Caenorhabditis elegans: one gene and its partner. The protein of the gene in region 2 purifies or fractionates together with the protein of the main gene of each other region. This does not show direct contact. Each region holds a gene or a part of one and is shown on either strand. Other genes may lie near its edges.

What was found.
Region 1: the proteins of eif-2gamma (region 2) and eif-2alpha fractionate together in Caenorhabditis elegans (co-fractionation; one large-scale study listed by BioGRID). This does not show direct contact.

The regions. Positions count from the first base shown.
Region 1 is NC_003279.8:2,069,954-2,079,224, forward strand, and holds eif-2alpha (Eukaryotic translation initiation factor 2 subunit 1), read left to right. Parts: upstream 1-2,726; 5' UTR 2,727-2,735; coding exon 2,736-2,853; intron 2,854-3,465; coding exon 3,466-4,013; intron 4,014-4,752; exon of another isoform or gene 4,753-4,753; coding exon 4,754-5,002; intron 5,003-6,033; coding exon 6,034-6,147; 3' UTR 6,148-6,972; downstream 6,973-9,271. Other genes in the region: rpl-27A (Large ribosomal subunit protein uL15), read right to left, coding at 99-254, 487-651; phb-1 (Mitochondrial prohibitin complex protein 1), read left to right, coding at 1,400-1,801, 1,871-1,987, 2,037-2,345; pcyt-2.1 (ethanolamine-phosphate cytidylyltransferase), read left to right, coding at 9,015-9,073.
Region 2 is NC_003279.8:2,310,352-2,317,669, forward strand, and holds eif-2gamma (protein-synthesizing GTPase), read left to right. Parts: upstream 1-2,919; 5' UTR 2,920-2,959; coding exon 2,960-2,969; intron 2,970-3,023; coding exon 3,024-3,112; intron 3,113-3,156; coding exon 3,157-3,362; intron 3,363-3,419; coding exon 3,420-3,810; intron 3,811-4,644; coding exon 4,645-5,253; intron 5,254-5,304; coding exon 5,305-5,409; 3' UTR 5,410-5,641; downstream 5,642-7,318. Other genes in the region: 5-cytosine rRNA methyltransferase nsun-4, read left to right, coding at 503-705, 748-823, 1,491-1,694; tbca-1 (Tubulin-specific chaperone A), read left to right, coding at 2,159-2,347, 2,399-2,545; ekl-7 (PEHE domain-containing protein), read left to right, coding at 5,958-6,038, 6,089-6,236, 6,296-6,818, 6,864-6,992, 7,041-7,318.

The sequences.
Region 1 (9,271 bases), 240 kb from region 2:
TTAGGCGCTACTTTGTCTCTCGTAACATACACAACCACATTCACCAGTGGAAGCGCCAAGACGAGAGAAATTCTTGTTTGACTTGTTTCAAAACACACCTTGAAGTATCCAAGCTTGGTGCAGTCAATGACTGGGGATTTGCCTCCGGTGGCCTTGTCGCGAACCTCCTGTGGGACAAGAGACCACAAACGCTCGACGTTGACGGTTGGGCAGTAGTGTTGGTTCTTGTTGAGATGGAACACTCTCATTCCAACCTGAAAATTAAAGTTTGAGTGTCAGATAATAAAGAACATATTAGATTTAATTGTCTCGAACCCAGAGGATGACATTTGTCGAGATGCAAGACAAACACCGAAGGAGATCCGAAAGCCAAAAGGCACTACTATCTCTCCTATAACATACACAGCCATATTCACCAATGGAAGCGCCAAGATAGGAGCGGATAATTTCCAACGAACTTTTAAAAAAGTACCTTAAAAATAATACCTTTCCGAAGTATCCAGGATGGTACTTGTCACGGTTGATACGGTGGTGATGTTGACCTCCGGCGTTACCGCGACCTCCAGGATGCTTCCTGTGCTTTCCAATACGTCCGTGTCCGTGCGAGACGTGACCACGGAGCTTTCTTGTCTTTCTCAACGCGTGAGCCATACCCTGTAAAGTAAACAATTTGAATGTGTAAAAGCGGCAAATTTCGATCGAAAATGGAGAAGAAAAATCAGAGAAAAATATTCAATGAAAGGTTCCCGATATTCTCGGATAAAATTACTACAAAAATACAAATTTTGTCTTTAAAGATAATTAAAATCGACCAGATCACACACTTTTTTCATTAAAACCTAGCGAAAAACCATTGAGAACAAAAAGAAATCCTAAAATATTCGCAAAAATTCAGTGAGTGTGTCTCCCAAAATCTGAGGTACGGTCACACTCGTTTGATGCGCATTTCGTGGCGAGACCCTCTCGATGAAATGCAGCCTCCCTTTAAACTCTTTTATTTTTTGCGCAACTTATTTCATCATTTAAATCGATTTTTTAAGCTAAAAAAGCAGAAAAGTTAGTTAAAATTTAATTAAATAATTTTGCAAATAAATAAGTTATTGATATTTTGTACTTTTTGATTCAGGCTCACTGTTATTATCGATTTATTCGTGGAGAAAGTCGAAAAATACTTTGTGTTGCATTATTTATAACATTCCGTAATTATTTTTGAAGTATTTTTTGTTTTCTAATTTTACTCGACTAAACTCACTTTTTCAATTTAGATTTCCTGACACCATTTAATTCATCCATCTAATTTCGTGATAATTAGGATTATTATCAATTTTGCATCATAGCTCGTTCATTTCTCTTTCTATTTCCCATTTTTTGTCCAAGTTATTAACTTCCATTTACCAGAATGGCTGCATCTGCACAGAAGCTTTTGGGTCGCTTGGGAACTGTCGGAGTGGGCCTTTCCATCGCTGGAGGAATCGCACAAACTGCTCTTTACAATGTTGATGGAGGTCAACGAGCAGTCATCTTCGACCGATTCAGTGGAGTGAAAAACGAGGTCGTCGGAGAAGGAACTCATTTCTTAATTCCATGGGTACAAAAACCAATCATTTTTGATATCCGGTCAACGCCGAGAGCCGTCACCACCATCACTGGAAGTAAAGACTTGCAAAACGTCAACATTACTCTCCGTATCCTTCACAGACCAAGCCCCGATCGTCTTCCAAACATCTACCTGAACATTGGTTTGGACTACGCAGAAAGAGTCCTTCCTTCCATTACAAATGAAGTTTTGAAGGCTGTTGTGGTGAGAAAAAATTTTAATTTAAATATTGCGAACTGATTTTGATTTAAAATTTGTTAAAATTAATTCCAGGCGCAATTCGATGCTCATGAGATGATCACCCAGCGTGAGGTTGTCTCCCAACGGGCGTCCGTGGCTCTTCGTGAACGTGCTGCACAGTTCGGACTTCTCCTTGATGATATTGCAATTGTAAGTTCACCAGATTTATGAAGTTTAAGCTATTTCCATGATTTTTCAGACCCACTTGAACTTTGGACGTGAATTCACTGAAGCCGTCGAAATGAAGCAAGTCGCACAGCAAGAAGCCGAAAAAGCGAGATACCTTGTCGAGAAGGCTGAACAAATGAAGATCGCCGCCGTTACCACCGCCGAAGGAGATGCTCAAGCCGCAAAGCTTCTTGCCAAGGCCTTTGCCTCTGCCGGAGACGGACTTGTCGAGCTCAGAAAGATTGAGGCCGCCGAAGAGATCGCCGAGCGTATGGCCAAGAACAAGAATGTCACCTATCTTCCAGGAAACCAACAAACCCTTCTCAACCTTCAATCCTAAATATCTCCGGTTACGTGTTTTAGACGAATTCCACTCATTTTCCCCTTTTCAAAGAGCCTTTTTCACTCTGTTGAACTTTCGAGAATAATCATGCCCGAATTCTCAATTAAATACTTTTTAAATTTCGTTTTTTTTGTTCTGTTTAGAGTAGGTCATTTCCTTCATTCATTTTGTGTAGGTATCGTAGCTTTTTCATTTTTTTTGCTTGTTTTTGTTGGAAATTTTCGTCTAATGAATAATTTGTTCGCGATATAATGAATTTGAAATTGGGAATTTATTAATTTTCAATGGTTGATTTCCCAAAATCATTATTTATAATTTTCTTATTTCTTTTCAATTTTCTTTTTTTTTAATGCTAAACTTTTCTTCTTCTCATTTCAGATGGCGTTAATGAAATGCCGTTTCTACGAGAATCAATTCCCCGATGTCGAGGAGACCGTTGTCGCCAATGTTAAAATGATTGCCGATATGGGTGCCTACGTCCGGCTTTCCGAGTACAATGATAAAGGTTTTTAAAATCATCATTTTAAAACAAAAATCGAATTAAAAGAGGACTAACGGTTCGGACGATTTTGAACGTATAGACCCAAAATGAGCTCAAATGAACGAATTTCGTAATGAAACTGCTCAAAAATGTTTCAAAAAATTTTTATGGCGGTTCAAAATTTTGAAAAATTACAATGATTTTAGCTAAAATCACGAATTTTCCCCTTTTTTCCGTGTCAAATCCTTCCTAAGTTAGCTTTTTTGGAATTATCGTCTTTTATTACATATATTGGTAGTTTATCTCATTTAATTTCGTTGATTTTTGGTTACCTATCGGCTTTAAATATACTTTAATCGGTAAAATTAAATGAGATAAACTACCAATATATGTAATAAAAGACGATGATTCCAAAAAAGCTAACTTAGGAAGGATTTGGCACGGAAAAAAGGGAAAAATTCGTGATTTTAGCTAAAATCAGTGCAATTTTTCAAAATTTTGAACCGCCATAAAAAAATTTTTGAAACATTTTTGAGCAGTTTCATTACGAAATTCGTTCGTTTGAGCTCATTTTGAGTCTATACGTTCAAAATCGTCCGAACCGTTCGTCCTCCTTTAAATTAAATCATTTTTCAGAGGGTATGATCCTGCTCTCCGAGCTCTCCCGTCGTCGTATCCGTTCAGTGAACAAGCTAATCCGTGTCGGCCGAAGTGAAAGCGTCGTCGTGATCCGTGTCGACAAGGACAAAGGTTACATTGATCTGTCGAAGCGTCGTGTCTACCAGAAAGACTTGAAACAGTGCGACGAGCGATTCGCGAACGCCAAAATGGTGAACAGCATTTTGAGACACGTGGCCGAGCAAGTCGGATACACTACCGACGAAGAGTTGGAGGATTTGTACCAAAAGACCGCGTGGCACTTTGATCGCAAAGAGAAACGGAAAGCAGCTTCATATGACGCATTCAAGAAGGCGATCACCGAACCGACGATCTTGGATGAGTGTGATATTAGTGCAGATATTAAGGAGAAACTCTTGGAGGACATTAGGAAGAAGCTCACCCCTCAGGCGGTTAAAATTCGCGCTGATATTGAAGTCTCCTGCTTCGATTATGATGGTATTGATGCTGTGAAGGCTGCACTTATTGCTGGAAAGAACTGCTCAAATGGAACCTTCCCGATTAAGGTTTCATTTTATAGATTTTACACATGGGCGCGCTTTTTTCTCGCTTTTTGCGTTTTTTGTTTAAAATTTCACGATGTCGCTCGATTTTGTCCGTTTTTTCGAAGAAAAAAACCAAGTTTTCATAGTACAGTTTTTACCCGAAAAATTCTCCGGTTAATTTCTTTTAATATTGTGAATTATTGTCATTTTTCAATGTCTTCTTTTATAACTTGTTGTATATTTATATGAAGAGAAAGCGAGTTTTATAATATTTTTCAGAAAGAGAGTTTTCAGCTATTTTTTAAACACAGTTTTTACCCGAAAAAATGCTTTTTTGTCTCTCTTTCTGAAAATACGATAAAACTCGCTTTCTCTTCATTTAAATATACAAATTATCAAGAAGGACATTTTAAAAATGACAATAATTCACAATATTAAGATAAATTAACAGGGGAATTTCAAATAATGTGCAAGATTTGGGTGATTTTTTTTCGGTTAAAAAATGTGAAAACTTGGTTATTTTTCATTTAAAAAATAGCTGAACACTTCTTTATTCGAAAAAAAAACGGCCAAAATCGATCGAAATCATGAAATTTTGGACAAAAAAAACGAAAAAAAAGGAAAATTACCGCACCCAAAAAGCGAGAAAAAAGCGCGCCGCAGGGTTGCGGCCGGAATCCCCGCCTCCAATAAACCACGCCCATGTGCGCAGTGCGAAATTGTTTTTTTTTAAATATTTAAAAAATAATTGTCTAATTCAGATCAATCTCATCGCCGCTCCCCACTTCGTCGTCACCACACAAACATTGGACAGAGAAGGTGGAATTGAGGCCGTCAACAGCATTCTGGATACTATCAAAAATGCGATTGAAGGATTCAAGGGAAAATTCACGATCAAGGAGGAGGCGAGAATTGTGACGGATATTGATGATGAGAAGAAGAAGGGTGATGGAGATGAGGATGAGGAGGAATCAGAGGAAGACGAGGACGAGGAAGAGGATGAGGATGATGTGAGTTTTGGAGTTTTTAAGACGATTTCAAGCATTTTTTCGTGATGATTTTATAATACATGAATTGGCAAGTAGAGCTTACACGTGATACTAATAATTGATAAATACATCAATTTCTGTTTTTACTGTACTGGCACAATAGCTCTCGTAAATCGACACAAAAGTAATTAAGTCACTCCGCGGAAAAAAGAAATTTGAATAACTCGATTCTTGTTTTGAATGTGGTTAACGGTTTTTTTTTAAAATCAAATTCAAAATCAGAATCATCCAAATTCCATTTTTCCGCGGAGTGATTTAATTACTTTTGTGTCGATTTACGAGAGCTATTGTGCCGGAATTTCAGTGCAGTAAAAACAGAAATTGATGTTTTATCAATGATTCGCATCACGTGTAAGCTCTACTTGCCAATTCGTGTAAAATTATCACGAAAAACTTTTTAGACCAAAAATGGCCAAAAACTACCAAATTTCGTAATGAGACGCTCTGAAAATCTCTCAAAAAAAAGTTATGGCCGCTCAAAGTTTTGGAAAAATGTTATATTTTTAGCTAAAATCTCAAATTTTGGCAACTTCTCGATGTCGCAGCGGTTGGAACTTAATTTTTATTTGATTGTCGTTTTTTAATGCATGTTTTGGCATTTTATCTCGTGTTGTTTCGTTAATTGAGATGCTTTTTCGGTCGATGCGGGCTCAAACTTTTATCGTATTTGTGCCCGCATCGACCATAAAGAATCTCAGTCAACGAAAAAACACGAAATAAAATGCCAAAACATGCATTAAAAAACGACAATCAAATAAAAATTAAGTTCCAACCGCTGCGACATCGAGAAGTTGCCAAAATTTGAGATTTTAGCTGAAAATATAACATGTTTCCAAAACTTTGAGCGGCCATAACTTTTTTTTGAAAAATTTTCAGAACGTCTCATTACGGAATTTGGTAGTTTTGGATCATTTTGGGTCTAAAAAACAAAGCCTCAAATTTCGGTACTCCACCTTGAAAGCTAGAAAAACGAAAAAAAATTTTTCTTTCAGGATGGACTCATGGCTCCAAAGGGTTTGGATCAACAAGTCGACGCGGAAGAAGCCAGCAGAGATAACCGAAAGAAGGCCGGCGACGATGAAGACAGTGATGAGGAGGATGATTAATTATTTGAAAATTGAAAATTGAAAATTCCCATTGTTTTTTTTTTGCTTTTATTGGTGTAATTGGCTCCGATTCTTTCTGGACTATTATTATAGTATTATTCAATTTTGGCACTATCATTTCTCTTCATCTGTTCTGTTGTTTTGTTCCTTTCCCCCTTTAAATGTGGAGTACCGATATTTTAGACTTTGCTTTTTTAGACCTAAAATGACCCAAAACTACCGAATTTTGTAATGAGACGTTCTGAAAATTTTTTACAAAAAAAAGTTATGGCGGTTCAAAGTTTCGGAAAAAATACCCCTTTTCAGCTAAAATCGAAATTTTGCCAACTTCTCGGTGTCTCAGTGTTTCGAACTTAATTTTTATTTAATTATCACTTTTTAAACAATATTTTGGTCTTTTATTAGACGTTGATTAGTTGATTTTTCGATCATTGGGGCACAAAAATGTAACTTTTATTTGTCCCCCACTGGTCGAAAATGTGCTTACATTAACGAATAAATGTCTAATAAAAGACCAAAATATTGTTTAAAAAGTGATAATTAAATAAAACTTAAGTTCCAGACTCTACGACACCGAGAAGTTGGCAAAAATTTCGATTTTAGCTGAAAATGGGCTATTTTTCCCAGAACTTTGAACCGCCATAACCTTTTTTTGAGAAATTTTCAAAACGCCTCATTAGGTAGTTTTCGGTAGTATTTTGGGTCTAAAAATGCAAAATCTCAGGTTTCGATACTCCACCTTTGACCTTCTATTTATTGTCTCCCATCCCCCGTTTTTTTTCCATTTTTGTGGGCTCCCAATTCGTTATGAACAGTGAGCTGGTTTTTCATCGCAGGCTTCTTTTTCCAGCAGTTACGAAGCAGACGTTCTGTGTTCAATACTTGACCATTCTCCCCCCGCCAGAAATGATCGATAAGAGGTGGTCCTCGGAGACCCGCGCGCGTGCGCATAGGTCACCTGATCACGTGGTGAAGGGCAACTGCCATTGTTTCAACGCCGGAATATTTTTTGAACCTTTATTGATTATCTCAAGTTTCTTATCAAATTTTCGAAAATTTGCCTTTCTTTTGTGTAAGGGGAAAATGGAAAAATTACGATTTTTGTTTCCATCGGAAACAAACAAAATGTGTTTTGTGGTGTGACCAAACGTCATTTTGTGTTGTTTTCTTGAAGTTTCTAGACGCGAAAAATAGAAAAATAATTAAAACTTTCTATAAAATTACCAACTTTCAGATTTCGGAAGGATTTTATTAAAAAAATTGGCAACATTTTTGATTTTCAATGAAATTTTTTTAAGGTGGAGTGCGCCCAGTGGGAAAATTGCTTCACAATGGCCGAATATCATGATTAAAAAATTCAAAAAAAATTTCTAAATTTTATATGATTTTTTGAAAATTGAAAAATCTCAGTTTTCCCCTAATTTCTATTTGAATTACCGCCAATTGGGTTCGTTCGATGGAGCGCGCTTGCACTATTTATTTTATTTTTCTCATTATTTCACTGATTTTCTTCATTATTTGTGTATTTTTATCGGAAAAAGAGAGAAAAATGCAAGGTAAATGCTTATAAGATTTATTAAAAAGTAACTGAAAATGAGTAAAACTGTGGAATATGCTATTTTCAGGATTTTTGGCGTCGAAACACAGTTTTACCCATTTTCAGTAATTTTTTAATGACCAATTTGCATTTTTCTCTATTTTTCCGATTAAAAACCCCCAAAAAACGAATAAAATCAGTGAAATAATGAGAAAAATAAAATAAATAAATAAAAATAATGCAAGTGCGCTCCATCGAACAATTTCAATTGGCGGTAATTCAAATAGGAATTAGGCAAAAACTGAGATTTTTCAATTTTCAAAAAAAAATCATATAAAATCTAGAAAATTTTTTGAATTTTTTTATCGTGATATTCGGTCATTGTGACCCTATGGGCATGTTTTAAAGCAATTTCCCCACTAGGCTTACTGAGTAGAAAAATCCCGGAAGTGCAATTTTTGAATTTTTTGTGAGAAACTCCTCCACAATTCGTCATTGAAAATGAAAAAACTCGACTAAATATTTTTTCCATGACAGGCGGTCTGCTCCGGGTTCGACGTCCTTTTCGAACTGATAACGTCACAATTTTTTTCTTTTTTTTTCCGCATTTTTTCATTCCGATTGCTATTTAATCGGGTGATGTCGGGGTCACTCTTCAATGTCCGTTGACTACATTGTTTTAATTTATTTTTAATTGACTCCAAATTTTCCCCTGATTTCGAATATCTATGTGAAAAAATTCAAAAAAATTTCCCTGATTTTATATTTAAGCTTGAAATCGCTTGTACTAGCATCACTTTTTTTCAAATTCGCGCCCAAAGAAATTCGCATTGGAGCGCGCTTTGATTTTCTTCATTTAAATATTTTATTTATTTTTCGCCGAATGCAGTTTTTTGAAAACCAGTTTCATTCATTTTTGTCGAGCTTTTATCGATTTTTTTCGACAAAAATGAATAAAACTGGTTTAAACTGAATTCGGCGGAAAATAAATAAAATATTTAAATGAAGAAAATCAAAGCGCGCTCCAATGCGAATTTGTTTGGGCGCGAATTTTAAAAAAAGTGATGCGGGGGACAAATGAAATTCTACGATTTCAAGCTAAAATATAATATCAGGGAATTTTTTTTGAATTTTTTCACATAGATATTCGGAATTAGGGGAAAATTTGGAGTAATATAAAAAATATTTCACAGATTTCGGTACTCAACCTTTAAAATTTTAAGTGAGAAAATATTATTAACGTGATTTTAAATTTTTTTTTCTTCTGCAACAATTTGAACTTTGATCTTAAATTAAAAAAAAAAATTATTTTTAAAATTTCAGTTCAAAAATGAGCGGATTAGCACCAGATGGACTGCCCAAAGGAAATCGAGTTTGGGCTGATGGATGGTTGGTTTTTGGCTGGAATCGACACGTGGTGTCAAAGTGTCTCTTTTCGGTTTGATCTACAAAAAATGTGGGATTTTTTTTCCAAAAAAATGTGACGTCAGCACGTTCTTAACCAATTTTTGTTGAAAAGTCTGCGTCTCTTTTCCCGCATTTTTTGTAGATCTCTACGTAGATCACGCCGAAATGAGACACTTTGAC
Region 2 (7,318 bases):
AAATTCTTTAAAATTCGGAATTTTTTTAAAATTTAAAATCCGAAAATTCACCAAAAAATGGCTCAAAAATTTCCAAAATTTTCGAATATTTGCTTAAATTACTAGAATTTTCTCGAAATTTCACTTAACTTTTTTCCATAGTTTGAAATCTTCTTTAAAAAAACCAACATTTGAAATTTTCACTCGATTTTCTAGAATTTACTTGAAAAAATGACGATTTTCGTTAAAAACACCTGAAAATTCATTCAGAAATGTGAATTTTTCTCAAGATTTAAATTTCGAATTTTTCCAATTTAAACACCTCAAAAATTGGGTTTTCAGTGAGAAAATTGAATTAAATACGAATTATTTCAACTTTTTTCTGCTCTTTTGAGGAAAATCAGAAAATAAAACAATTTTTTGAAATTAGAGTTTTTTTTTTCGATTAAAAAATGTCGAAAATTCTTTTTTTTAAATATAAATCCCTCCAAAATTAGCTAAAACTCCAAAAATTTTCCTGCAGACAATCGACAAATTCGTCCTAAAACGCAAGGACGCGTCCGACGTCAAAACTTGGGATGAATTCGAGGCCTACGATAAAGTGCTCGTCGATGTTCCGTGCTCGACGGATCGTCTATCAGTCAGCACCGACGACGGAAACCTTTTCAGCACAGGATCCACTCAGCAGAGGCTTGATCTTCCGGTTCTTCAGACCAAGATTCTTGTGTAAGGATCCTCGGCTTTCCCTCAAATTATTTTTCCTTTCAGAAATGCACTGCGATCTGTAAAAGTTGGTGGCTCGGTTGTCTACTCGACGTGCACACTCTCACCAAGCCAAAACGAGGTTTTCGCTCGAACCTGGTCTTGGCACGACAAATTTTTTTGTTAAATAGGAAAATATATGCGCCTTTAAGGAGTACTGTAGTTCCAAATTTTTTGTTGCATCGATTTTTGAAAAACTCCTTGAAAAATGATGACAAATATAGTTTTTTCTCGATTTGTAAAAAATTCGAAAATTGATGAAAAATCGATGAAAATTTTACAAAAAACGTGAAAAACTCAATTTTTCAAAACAATATTCGGCTATTTTCCAATTTTAGTTTAAAAAAAATCGCATTCTGCATTTTTTTTTGCGCTCCCTGCCGTGTTTGCGTATTTTCACCGCTACAGTACCCCGAAATGCTCAAATTTTGCTCTGATAGTTTCACAAAAGTTTAAAATGTGAAGAAATCGTTTCTTTTAACACTATAAATCTCGAATTTTCACTAAACAGTTGAGAAAATCAAATCAAAATTTCAAATTTTGACGATTTCCGTTTAAAAATTTGATTCTGGCTTCAACTCTCGCCCGATCCCAACATTTTCCCTCAAAAAAAATCCCGAAATTCTGCATGCATTTTTTCGTAGGATCCGGTGATTGCGTACTTTCGCGGCTACAGTACTTCTGGCGTGTCGAGACCGGGGTTTTTTGTCGAAATAACAGCTCAAAAATGCTAATTCAAATTTCTTCAGGCAGTCGTCGAGAACGCTGTAGCCGTCGTACGCAATGACTTTGGAATCGTGACCGTCGAGGAATCCCTACATCAACTCGTATCCCATATGACGTCATCAGGCCTCTATCGTTTCCATGACACTCCACTGGGAGCCCTCGTCGTGCCGTTTCTACCCTCTAACTTTGGACCAATGTATATTTGCAAACTGACCAGATTGCAATAGATTTTTAATATTTGATGAATTTTTTTAAATTTCTAGATTTTGCTATTTTTTGTTTGTTTTTTTTAAATCTGAATTTTTAAATTTATGTCTTGTTTTAAAATTTTATTATTTATGCAGTACCCCCATGGGTGCATCTGCCGTTCCATCAGTACCTAATTTCAAATTCATAGAATTTTTCATTGATCCTTCTTGTTCGTTCTCTATGTATGTATTGCGAAATCATTTGAACAGTCGATTTTTTGGCGGGAACCTGTGTCGCCCAACAGACAGCGGTCAATTTGTATTTATTTCGAAATCGCCGAGCGTGTCTGACCATCTGCTCGCTTTCCCGTCCTTTTTCGGCTCATTGAGCACAACATTTTCGGTGGTATTGCGCCTTTTTCTATCGATTTTTAGTCCATAAAAGCAAGCTCACAATCTCGTTCTCTGTTTCAAAAATTCACATTGCAGAACCTCCCGCCGCCATGTCGACCCAAGCCGATCAGCTGAAAGCGCTCCGAATCAAGACGGGAACCGTGCAACGTCTCGTCAAAGAAGTCGCCTATTACGAGAAGCAAGTTGTGAAGGAGGAGCAGAAGGCTGCCCAACTCGCCGCCGACGCCACCAACGAGGACGAGGAGTATGTTGCCAAGAAGTCGAAGGATATTGTTAAGGTTTTTTGAAATAATCCGATTTACGAGTATACGAAATTAAAATATTTTCAGGAAACTGCCAACATGGTCCGCGATTCTCAATCACGTCTCCAAAAAGCTGTGGCCGACCTCCGTGAATCGATTGCTTCTGGGAATTATCCGGAGGAAGCCGCAGAATTCGTCAATGCGAAGACGCTTGTGGACTCCATTTCTGCTTAATTTATGATACTCTTTTGTTATTTTGGGATTTTCGGTGATTTATGATGAATAATTATTGCATTTTACTTGAATACATGGTTTATAATGCCGTATAAATAATTTTAAGAAGCAATTTCGCTAATATTTCCATACGAAAAATATACAGATGTCCGTTAATTCAACGATTTTTGCCTGGTTCGCGCTAAAAAGCAAAACATAAAATTCGAGCTCGTAAATCGACACACGAAATCGCATCGAGACCCTTCCAACCACTCCCATGCGCCTTTAACCCATTTCTAATTTTATCCAATTTTAGCCTGTTTTCTATGCAATCTTTATGGATTTTCAATTAATTTTGAGTAATTTCGATTAATTATAATGATAATTTTTTAAAGATCAATAATCGACTCAACTGGGATCATAAAAACAAAAAATATGGCTTCTGGTAAGTGTTAGCTTTTCGGTTTCAAGAAAATTTCATAATTCTTTCTTAATTTAGAAGCTGAAAAGGACAAGTGCCAGAGCTGGCTTGCGAAACAAGATTTGGACAAAGTCGGAGTCGATAATTTGAACCCACTCACCGAGGAGGTACTGAAAATCAATAATTTTTGAGTTAAAGAGTTATTTTTCAGGTTATCTCTCGACAAGCCACGATTAATATCGGAACTATTGGCCACGTAGCCCATGGAAAATCCACTCTGGTGAAAGCGTTCTCCGGTGTGCATACTGTCAAGTTCAAAAGAGAGTTGGAAAGAAATATTACTATCAAACTTGGATACGCTAATGCAAAGATCTACAGATGTTCTAACCAAGAGTGCCCAAGGCCAGGATGTTACAGGTTATAATATCTCCCTGAAATTTAATTTAAATAAATAATTTTTGAATTCTAATTCAGATCCGCCGGTTCATCAACACCCGATCGGTTCCCATGCGAGCGCGCCGGATGCGGTGGAGAATTCACCTGTGTTCGCCACGTCTCATTCGTCGATTGCCCAGGTCACGACATTCTTATGGCCACCATGTTGAACGGAGCCGCTGTCATGGACGCCGCGTTCTTGCTCGTCGCCGGAAACGAACCATGCCCACAGCCACAAACATCTGAACATCTCGCCGCCGTCGAGATTATGCAGCTGAATCATTTGATGATTCTTCAGAACAAGGTCGATATTATCAAGGAGTCGCAAGCCCGCGAAAATTACGAGCAAATCGCCGGATTTGTGCAAGGAACGGTCGCCGAGAATGCTCCAGTCATCCCGATTTCTGCGCAGCTTAAATATAATGTTGATGTAAGGATCTGAATCTGGATTTAAATATACCACGCTCTCCTCAAGTGTTCATAATTATTAGAGCGCGCTCGCGCGGCACCACACGAACTCCAGAATTCGCGGGAATTCGTTTCGCGGGGACAGCAGTTTTTGGCTATATTCGGCTTCTATGGAAATTATTTTTAATTTTTTTGATTTATAATATTGTTGAGAAGCACCATCCGAATTGAAAATGTGTAAAATTATGAAATCTGACCGAAAACTGAAGTTTTTACAGAGAGGAGTCACCACGGCTTTCTTTAAAATGTATCAGTACCGTCAGTTTTTCGAATTCAGAGTCGTAAAATATGTCATTTTGTAAGTCTGTTTCACGAAAATCCATGTTTGAAATTTTAATTTTTTAATTTCTAATATAAAAATATTCAAAAAATCAACAATTTTACGTTAGAATCTAATTTTTTCAAATTTTCAGTTTTTCATAAGAACAATTTTAAAATTTCAAACATGGATTTTTGTGAAACAGACTTTTCTCTACAAAATAACATATTCTACGACTCTGAAATCGAAAAACTGACTGTACTGATACATTTTAAAGAAAGCCGTGGTGACTCCTCTCTGTAAAACCTTCAGTTTTCGGTCAGATTTCATAATTTTACACATTTTCAATTCGGATGGTGCTTCTCAACAATATTATTAAACAAAAAATTAAAAATAATTTCCATAGAAGCCAAAAACAGCCGCCTAAAACTGCTGTCCCCGCGAATTCTGGAGTTCGTGAGGGGCCGCGCGAGCGCGCTCTAATAATTATGAACGCTTGAGGAGAGCGTGTATACTAGATTAATTGCGATTTTTCAGCTCGTTTGCGAGTATCTTTGCAAGAAAATCCCCGTGCCAGTCCGTGACTTCAAGTCGCCGGCTCGTCTCATCATTATCCGATCATTCGATGTTAACAAGCCAGGATCTGAAGTTGAAAACTTGAAGGGAGGAGTCGCCGGAGGAACATTGACCAAGGGAATTCTGCGCGTCGGACAAGAAATCGAAGTTCGCCCGGGAATCGTCTCAAAAACCGCGACCGGTCAACTCCAATGCCGTCCGATCTTCTCCCGTATCGACTCTCTGTTTGCCGAAAAGAACCAGCTGGAATACGCCGTTCCCGGCGGTCTCATCGGTGTTGGAACGAAGATCGACCCGACACTCTGCCGTGGAGATCGACTCGTCGGTCACATCCTCGGAGCCGTTGGCACTCTTCCAGATATCTTCATCGAAATTGAAATCTCCTTCTATCTTCTGAGAAGATTGCTCGGAGTTCGTACTGAAGGAAAGAAGAAGGGAGCCAAGGTGCAGAAGCTTGTCAAGGAAGAGACTTTGCTGGTGAACATTGGATCGTTGTCAACGGGAGGAAGAGTTACTGCTGTGAAGGGAGACGCCGCGAAGATCAGATTAAACGATCCTATTTGCACAGAGGTAATTCCCACTTTTTATAAAATAATAAATTTAATTTGTATTTAAATTCAGGTTGGAGAGAAGATTGCCATGTCACGTCGTTTCGAGAAGAGTTGGCGCCTGATTGGCTGGGGAACCATTCGCAAAGGTCAAACCGTTGAGCCGTACAAGAACTAGCGGCTATCATCGATTTGTTGTCTACACCGGTTTTGACATATTATTAATCTTTTCCAATTGTTTCTCTCCGTTTTTGTCTCTCTATTAGTCCAAAAAATTTTGTCGGATCCCTGTTTTGGTTCTTTTTTCTGTCCTCCTCCTGTTTCCTACTATTCCACTTCCAGTTTCATTGATTATTTTTCTTTTTGTTGAAAGTGTGCTTGGTGTTTTTTCGATAAATTATTGGATTTGAGTAAAATCTGGAAATACATTTTATAATTGCAGCAAAGATTCAGGTTTTGAAAAACAAAACGAAAAGTGCAGGCTACAGTAACCCACCTTAAAGGGAGGTTTCATTCCTTGCGCAGATGGTCTCGCCGCGATGAGACTTTTGTAGAATGTTTACGGTGTTGTAGGCCGCTAGAAAATTTTCGAATTTCATCTGAATTTCTCTTTATTTTCTCCAATTTTCTCAAATTTTTGTTCGAAAATCTGAATAAAATGTATAAAACTTTTATTTTAACGCCTCGATCGGATAAAACATACACTCTAAATGATAAATTTCAGCGATGCCGGCCCCGAAATTCATCGAAGGTCCGAACACTGTTCAAACGTCACTTTACGGCTATGACAGGAGCAAGAAAGTGCAGGTAATACTCTGAATTGTGCGATTTTTTCCACCCACTAAAACATAACCTAGTTCCAGCTGAACAATTTACGCGGGAAACCAATTATGGTGCTCCGTTCTGATACGGTCATTCCAAAAAACGAAGAAGCACCTCCACCACGAAGCACCTTCGCCAAGAAGTGGGTCGATCGCAGTCGTCATATTCCGACAATTCCACTATGTAGGCGACAATTCCATGTCCTTAACATTTCCCAAAGAAAATACAATTTTAAATTGCAGACAAATCCACGTGCAGATCCTACTCGCACTTTCATCATCAGTACACATGTCCGAAACCTTCGTCGGAATCTGCGTTCCCGTTTCCCATCTCGCCTACTCAAATTGATCTCCCATTCGGGCATACTGCACACGACAGGAAACCATCATGCCTACCAACTCCACGTGGCTCTCCAAACAGTCCGAGATTGACGCCGGAAGACGAGATGACTGTGAAACGATTGTTTGACAAGCTGGAGATCCCTACGACGCCGGCAACATCATCCGCCAGCTCGTCCTACGTTTCGCACAAAACACTTCTAGAGCTCAATTCGAAGGTCTCCAAAACATCAGCCATCGATGTATCCGTTCCACCAGTGACCGAGAGTTCCGAGGCGGACTCAGTCCGAATTGATTTATCGTTTCTCGTCGATACACCGAAAAGCTTGTCGGATTCACGAAGATCCTCGTGCTCGGACACCTCGCCGCCCGATCTCGAGGAGATTGCATCAAGCTGTGATGAGGTGGAGAAGCCGCCGGGTCACACGTATGTAAAAAATGTTCATAAATTTTAAAAAATTTTTTATTTCAGATGCCAAGATGAAGCTCAATGCAACATTTTCCGCAAAGGTGAATGTATTGATGAGAAGAAGGAGCGACAGAACATGATCCAATGGTTCAACGATCTTGTCCAATGGCGTCATGATATTATAGCCAAAAAGTTGGATTCTAGTCGTATTAATAATCTTAAATAACTCGTTTTTTCCAGACGCTTCGGTCCACCACGTTGTCCTCCACCTCCATTGACAGTCACAATGATTGGAGCAAGCCGTTCTCAGCGTGCAAACCCATTTCATCGAGTCGGAGAAGTTCACCCATTTGCCATGGAGGTCATGGATCACGTTCGTCGGAAAATGGACGCGAAACGTTCGTATCGTCTCGTTCCCGCTGGTCCTACTTTCCCCGCGCCACACGAGTTTATGGCGAACGCAAAGTGTTTGGAGCCGCATCTGTTCGTGGAGTACTGCTATCAGCTGACAGCGGCCG